2 linked regions of the Rattus norvegicus genome follow. The protein of the gene in region 2 purifies or fractionates together with the protein of the main gene of each other region. This does not show direct contact. Links are inferred from orthologs where the notes say so. Each region holds a gene or a part of one and is shown on either strand. Other genes may lie near its edges.

Region 1 (3,819 bases), on a different chromosome or scaffold from region 2:
TAACTGTAAGAGGATGATTTCAAAAGTCTGGGTGTAGAATTTAAAGAGGTCTAGACCAACAGCAAATGAAATAAAAAGAACACTTTCAATGATAATAGTAAAGAAAGTCTAAAGACTTTAATTAAAACAATCAAAATAGGATAAAAACAATTAAAAAATAACTAAAAGTTCGCTTACTCCAACAAATACATCTACTGAAGTTTACTTTGTGTTAGGCATACTAATTCAGTGAAATGAAGCATCAGTAAGACCTTTGAGAAGTAGGAAGGGTGAAATGAGGCACGCGGATGAGCTTGAAGGTTAGGAAGCGCTCTCTAAGTCAGAGGAGACAAGGTATTTGAGTAAACAGGATGAAGCATTATTAGAATCTGAGAAGGCAGAGAATCTGCACAGAAACCTAACTTCTGAAAACATCTATATAAAACAACGTTTCCTTTTAGGAGTTGTAGGTTGCAATGTATAGTTCTCTGGTTTAGGATACCAGAGAGTAGTTAACCAAGAAGTTAATAAAGAGAAAATATGAAAAATACATTTGAATTTAGCAGTTTTCTCTGACACAGAGTCAATATCATTTGTATAATGTTGAAACTAAAAAGTGTATGGCACAGGAAGAAGGTGGGAGTCTGACCAAATCATAATATCCTAAGATTTGCAGAATGGAAATGCGATTATAAGAGTTGAGAACATACCATAGGACTCTCGCACTCCTATGACCAGCTGGGAATCAAAAGCTTCCCCTAATCTCTCAGCATGCACCAGCTTCATTGCACTATCCTGGAGTCTGTTCTTTATATTCGAAAAAATCGACTCATTCCACGTATCAAGCATGAGCTAGGAAGTAAGAAAATACAGCATCATTTGCAGTGATTAACATCTCAAGTACCATACACACAAGGTTCAGGACAAATGGAGAAAAGGAAATCCTACTACTGTATCAGCAGTGTTGGGTCCTTTAGGAAGTCACATTTTATTAGCCAATAGTAAAGAACTAGGGCCAACATGATGACACACCTTTAATCTGAGCACTCAGAGGCAGGAGTTTGAGGCCAGCTTGGTCTACATAGTGAGCTTCAGGATAGCAGGAATATACAGAGACTTTATCTCAAAAAACCCCAAAAAACAAAAAAAACTTTTTCTTCAGAATACAATTTGGTTTCTAGCTCTATTTATTTCCTTTCCCACATGCAAAATACTAAGAGGCAAATTTCTAGTGGTTCTAAGACGCTCACATGCATGTCTGTGCTAGTTGCAATAAAAATGTATACATCTTCCACCACATGATTATCAAAGTTATAGAAATAAAGAATACACACTGGCAACCAAGACCAATGCTCCAAGTCGCTCTGTTGGTAACAGGGAGAGCGGTGACAACAGTTAATTCTGTGACTCTCACAACATACCCTGGACTGCACCGTGTGTTTCCACAGATAATTAATGCAACACCAACAGTCCTGAAGTAGGAATACCACTTCTCTTTCTATGGTGAGAGTTGGGGCCTAGCAGGCAACACTAACATGTCCACATCTGAACCCAACAAATATCATCCCAGAAACAATGCTCACATAAACCAGTAAGCCTCACAGTAAATTTAAAAAAAATAGAAAAAAAAAAAAAAGGAATAACAAAAAAACCAAGAGGGTAAGATTATGGGCTTGCATCTTCAAAGGCTTTTTCCCTTTAAAAAGAAATGTTTCAATTTGTAGCAAATTCTAGCACTGAAATACCATGTATATCTAATGTTATAGTATCTTGCATAAAGCAAATTTCAAGAGTAGGATGGGATGGTAACACCCAGACAATTCTGGTATTGATCTTCTAACCTAACCATCACAGCAGGGTTTTTGTAATTCAAATGGCAGGTTTTGTTTTTCACCTTTTGAAGAGGCTGAGCTCAGTGGTAGAGCTTATGCAGCATGTATGCGCTCACACGCTTCCATTCATTTCTCACTAGTAGGTAGGTAATTGGTAAATAGGTATAGATATTTAAAAAAAATAATTTATAGTTGAAAGAAACCTTGTGACAAACATGACTAGACTAACTATAAAGATGACAGCTGCTTAGCACAATTAAAGTTAGAAGAAATGAGTATTCAAAGAAAAAATGAGTAATTAATTCACAAGAAGATAAAGTATAAAGAAATAGCACAAAAGATACTGAAGATAAAACTGGAAAAAGCCAAAAAGGAAAATTGAGGTTATGTTTGAAAACACTTATAGTTTAAGAGAACATACAAAGATAAAGAATGCTGAAGCTAAAATGTATGAGTGCAAGAAAAAGTTTCATAAAAAACAAACCTAACAGCTATAAAGAGACTGCATGCGGGCTGGAGGGATGGCTCAGCGGTTAAGAGCACTGACTGTTCTTCCTGAGGTCCTGAGTTCAATTCCCAGCAACCACATGGTGGCTCACAACCATCTGTAATGGGATCTGATGCCCTCTTCTGGTGTGTCTGCAGCGACAGTGTATATAGAATAAATAAATCTTTAAAAAAAAGGGTCTGCCTGTGATTAGCAAGACCTACATAAATCATAATGAACACCTTCCTAAAGACATTTAGGGCATTAAGAGACATCAGGAAACAATGGGGTAAGACACATACCTTTCGAACAATACTGTCTTCCATATTTGATTTTTTATTGCTGCTTTGTTTACCCAATAAAGTCACCTCTAGTTGACAAAAAGGTTTTGGTAAAATATCGCACTGGGTGAAGAATTTTCGCCATTCAACAATATATGCCTTTAGCAAAGCTGTGTCATCTTGATGGCTCAGTACGCGCTGAAAAACAAAACTGTATCAGCTTGGAATGAACCTAAATGCTTTGATGAATAAGGACAGTATGCAGTCAAGCGACAATTTTAAAACATGATTTGTTGTACAAATACTATATTTAAGAGAAACCAAGCACATGTCCTAATAAATATTCTGTACATAAATGTTCATAGCCACATTGTCTAAAACAATCAAAAGTAGGAAATGTAAACCAGGCATGAAAACATTTACTATCCCAAGTAAAGACTGCTCATAAAAGATCAATCAGTTTATGAAACCCAAGAGCAGACAAACTCAGAGGTAGAAAATTCACGTGTAATGGTGAACAGGGTTTGAGAAGTAACAGGGAGTGTTTGCCTGTTAACAGTACAATGTTTCTTCAGAGGGTGGTGAAAATACTCTACAGTTAGTGGTTGAGGCTACTAACCCTCTCCAGCATATACTTGAGGGAAGTGTTTTGTTTCTAAGTTTTTGTTTGTCTTCCTCACTCCCTTTTTGAGCCAGGGTACCCCTGAGCTGGCCTGGAGCTCATACATGAGGCAGTTGGCTTCCAACACAGCCACCAGCCTGCCTCTGCCTCCTGAGTACTGGGATTAAAAAGGTATGCCCTACTGCAGCCAGTTAAAAGTAAATCTTATGACAGGTAAAGTATTTCTCTTTGCAGGGATGGAATTGGTGCTGAAGTTATACCTAGAGCTTAAACATGCTATCTTAGACTTCACTTAAAGGTGGTCCTCGATTTTCCCACTGCTCACACTGGGCTGATTTTGTGACCAGCTTTAACCACACAGAATGTTGCCATTACAAGCCTAGACCTGATGAAATCTTGTAGGTCCCACAAACACCTTTCTAGGATGTTTTCCTTAGGAATATGAGATAATTTTTCCAAGAGGAAATCAGCCCTGAGTAATACATATTTAATTATGCTCACTTGGACCACCTGACCCTTGCAGACCCAACTACCAATGCATTAATGAGCTTGAGTGAAATTAATTGAGGCAAGCCCACATTACTAAACCAGACAACAATGAACAAATAAATTAGTTGT
Region 2 (3,819 bases):
TCGAGGAAGCAGAGAGCACAGTCCAGCAGAGTTCCAGAAACTCAAGTAACTGAATCTAATGGGCCTCTACCTCTGACTACAGGGTTACAGGAAACAGAGATCATGGCCGATGGTGTAAGGGGTCAAGGAGCTTACATGGAGAGCCACAGGTAAGATAAAGTGTGTTCTCTGGGGAGAAGAAAGAGAAGACTCCATACCACACTGAGAGACCTCAGAGATGTGCCAACTCTGCCTCAGAGCAGGCGTCCCTGGTGACTGTCTAGAGCATCACACCCCCCTTCCCAACGTGCTCCTCCTTGTCCCACCTCCTGTGGCCTCTACACATGAGATTATGGCAGCACACAGCATAGGACGCACGCCCACTTCCTTGTGGCTTCCTCCCTGTTTTGAAAGATACACTTAACAGTTACTTCCACGACTCAGAGGTCTTGATTGCACTTAGAGGAAGGGCTGGCGACTTTCTAAAGTGCTGTGAAAACATTTTAGCCTGTAACTCAGATACTCTGCAGAACCATTCAATTCTGCTTGTGAGGGGGAAGTACCGGTAGAATTTATTAGCCAGAACTGCGTATCAATAATGCTTTATTTACAGACAGGAAGGGTGACACGGATGCGCAAGCCAGTCTGCCAATTCTCGGCTTAGAAACCGCCAGGCACACAGCAGGGAGCACAAGTATGTGATGAGTGAAAGTGAAATTTAAAATGGATGGAGGTGGCAGGGGTACAGAGGCCATCGTGCTGTGACAAGCACTGTCTTGTCATCTGTGTTCTTCATTTGTACCAAGGAGATTTGCCTTCTACTAGAGAACTTGAGGATGACTTAGCAATAAACACAACGAGAAATAAGCAAACAATAACTAGGTAATTAAAACAAAATATTTAGGAAAAACTCCTAACGGGTACAGCTATGAAACTCTCAGTGTGGAGGTCTGAAAGGTCCAGCCCCTCCCCCGTAGACAGGTTTGATGCTTGGCTGTAGGGAGGGATACGTGGCCTTGTTGGAGGGGCTGTGTCACTGTGAGGGTGGGCTTCATGGTCTCCGATGCTCAAGCTAAGCCTGGTGTGGCACACTGTCTCTTTCTGCCTGCAGATCAAGATGTAGAACTCTCCTTCTCCAGCACCATGTCTGCCTGTGTGATGTCACGCTTTCTGCTATGACAATGGACTAAACCTCTGAGACTGTAAGCCAGCCCCATGAAATGTTTTCCTTTTCTAAGAGTTGCAATAGTTATGGTGTCTCTTCACAGCAGTACCACCCTAACGAAGACCTTCAGTGACATGGGTAGTCACCAATACCTACTGCTTAAACTGGGAAAGTGGGGGCGCTCTCATGTCTACTAGTGAGGTAGGGAGCAGGGTTGACAACATAGCGTCCTTCCATAGCGCGTAATGAACAGCTGGGAAGGAGTATTGTATACAGTGCAGTCAGTCCGTCCAGACTGCATTGTCTCGGGTCAAGGTGGTAGGAAGCGAAGCCATGAAATGAAAGGTAGGGACTGAGGTAACTAAGTCTGCCAGCTCCTGAAGGAAGCAGACAGCACAATCCACTAGAGTCAGAGAGGGGGAAGGCAACATATGACAGCTCAATTAGAAGTATCAATAAATAAAAATAGGGGTTTTTGCAAATACAGTGACAGATACTAGAAAGCCCCAAACTCTAGGAGGCACCTGCAACTCAAACACAGGTGGTGAGGGGATGAATGCGTGGGGTGTGCTTTCCCTCTCTATCTGCCTAAGGGTTCAGGAATCACTTGAATTTAAAGCACACGAGAAGGCCAGTCTCCTTACCTGCCGTCCCTCCAACTCGATCTGGAAGTTCTTGGCAGACTCCTGGGTCACCCTCCCTCCAAAGTCTAGCTGGTACACCTGGGTGGCTTCATTCCACAGAGGCTGCTTGTTGGCCATCACATACACGAAGCCCTGGCTGCCCAGTCGCCCGTCTTCCTTCTCACTGGCTTTGCGGCCCTTGAATTCCTCCAGCTCGCTGGCCGTCCGCAGGCTCCTCTTGCTTTTCCACCCCTTCTTGCTGCCCTGGCTCTGGTTCATCAGCTCATCCCCGCTGATGAACAGCTCGGGCTCACTCTCTGAGCTGTCCTGGAACTCGTTTGTCTTGTTCAACTTCTTTGACTTCAGTTGGTCTTTCTGACTTTTCACTTTCTTCTTCTCTCTCCCCAGGCGGGGACTGGCGATGAGCGAGTTAAAGTCGCTCAAAGTCCTAGCATCCTTTCTTACTTTGCCCTCAGTGATGGCCTGAACACTCCCTTCCTCTGCTCGGCTATCAAGGCGCTTCCGGTTCTTCTTTCCAAATTTCTCTGTTCTCTGGGGCACGGGGCTTTCTGTCAGAGAGAGGACTTCTTGGAAATTGTCTGCAGTCTCTACCATCACCTCTGTGCCCATGTGGCTTTGGAGCTCGGCAGGTGGAGGGGACACGAGAGGCTTCTCCACCACTAAGTGGGGCTTGGAGGGGAGAGTGCCCTGGGTATTCTGCATGGGCGGGCAGGTGCTGTAGGAATTCCAGGGGTGCAAGGCGATGGGCGGCAGCTGTAAACTGGAGCATGTGCTGCTTCCTGGGTATGTGGGGGGCAAGGTGCAATAGGAAAGGCTGGGTGGGTATGCTGGCTGAAGTACGACAGCAGACTCCTGTTGTGCAAACTGTGCCGGGGACAGGGCATCCTTAGGGGAACACGGAGCTTGGACTCCAGGCAAAGAGGGGGTATTATAGCTGCCTGGATATGGCACTCCCATCCCATAGCCTGTCTGGAAGGTGGCAGTAGGGCTGGATGGAGACTTGGGAGACACAAAGGGCACTCGAGCCACATCCAGGTGCTGGCCCTGCCCTATCATGAGAGGGGACAGTTTTAAGGGGTTGGGCACTGTAGGCTGTGCTGTCCTTTCCTGGGGAACCCAAACGTCCTCACCCAGCACGGGGTCCCACTGGTAGGGGGGAGGCCGCTTCATGGTGACAGTGGCTTCAGGAAGTGGGGGATGCCGCAGAGGTTTCTCAAGCTGACAGTGCTGAGACAGGGCCTCGTCCTCTGTGAAGGCTGAGTTGACATAGTCAGTACGATCACGGGAGGTGTCAGGAGGGCTTAGAAGATTGTAGGAGGACTGGGAGGCCAGCGGGGAGGTGCTGATAGCATGGGCCAGGGCTGCACCTGACTGTGAGCTGGGCCCTGCTCCACTGCACTGGCTGCAGGTGTATAGGGCAGGTGGAGGCCTTGCTGGGAGCTGTGCCACTGCCCCACCAGTGCCCCCCTTAGGCTTGGCTGGGGGCTGCAGTGGGGCACGGGAGCTGTCAGCCAGCTGGGCCATCTTAAGTGCAACCTCTCGGTTGTTCCTTCGTAGGGTGGCATGGATGAGACTGTTATCCAGCCTTTGAGTAGCATTCCGCCCCTGGGCCAGCTGGCTAGCGATTTCAGGGTATGGAGGTGGGTCCCCTGTGGGGATGGAATATCGAGGGACAGTTAGTCGGTTCAGAGTGGCACTGGTACAGGGTTGGGGGACCTTCTTCTCAGTGGCTGTGAGTCTCAAGGTGGCAGAACTGCCTGGGCCAGGAAGAGTGTAGGTGTTCTGGGAACAGAGCATCCGAGTGCGAGGCCGGCACACCTCTTCCACATTGCCACTGCTGTCAAAGGTGGTTATCCTCTCATAGCCTAGTGGAGGCTGGTAATGTGCTGCTGTAGGGTACAGTGAGAAGTCACCCTTCTTCAAACACACATCCACTGGGGGCTGTGGTGGTGGCAGAGGGGGTGGGGGTGCAGCTGTGGTGGGGGCAGCAGGGATAGTTCCTGGGTATGGGGGTGGGGGATTCATCTTTGC

What was found.
Region 1: the proteins of Tulp4 (region 2) and Cul5 purify together in Homo sapiens (affinity purification with mass spectrometry; 4 studies listed by BioGRID and IntAct, counting the BioPlex papers as one, with this or other methods). This does not show direct contact. The link is inferred for Rattus norvegicus from reciprocal best matches to the Homo sapiens genes TULP4 and CUL5.

What each region holds. Positions count from the first base shown.
Region 1 is NC_086026.1:62,942,030-62,945,848, forward strand, and holds part of Cul5 (cullin-5), read right to left. Parts: intron 2,778-3,819; coding exon 2,601-2,777; intron 832-2,600; coding exon 690-831; intron 1-689. UniProt on the Homo sapiens protein: Core component of multiple cullin-5-RING E3 ubiquitin-protein ligase complexes (ECS complexes, also named CRL5 complexes), which mediate the ubiquitination and subsequent proteasomal degradation of target proteins.
Region 2 is NC_086019.1:49,209,657-49,213,475, reverse strand, and holds part of Tulp4 (tubby-related protein 4), read right to left. Parts: coding exon 1,789-3,819; intron 1-1,788. UniProt on the Homo sapiens protein: May be a substrate-recognition component of a SCF-like ECS (Elongin-Cullin-SOCS-box protein) E3 ubiquitin ligase complex which mediates the ubiquitination and subsequent proteasomal degradation of target proteins.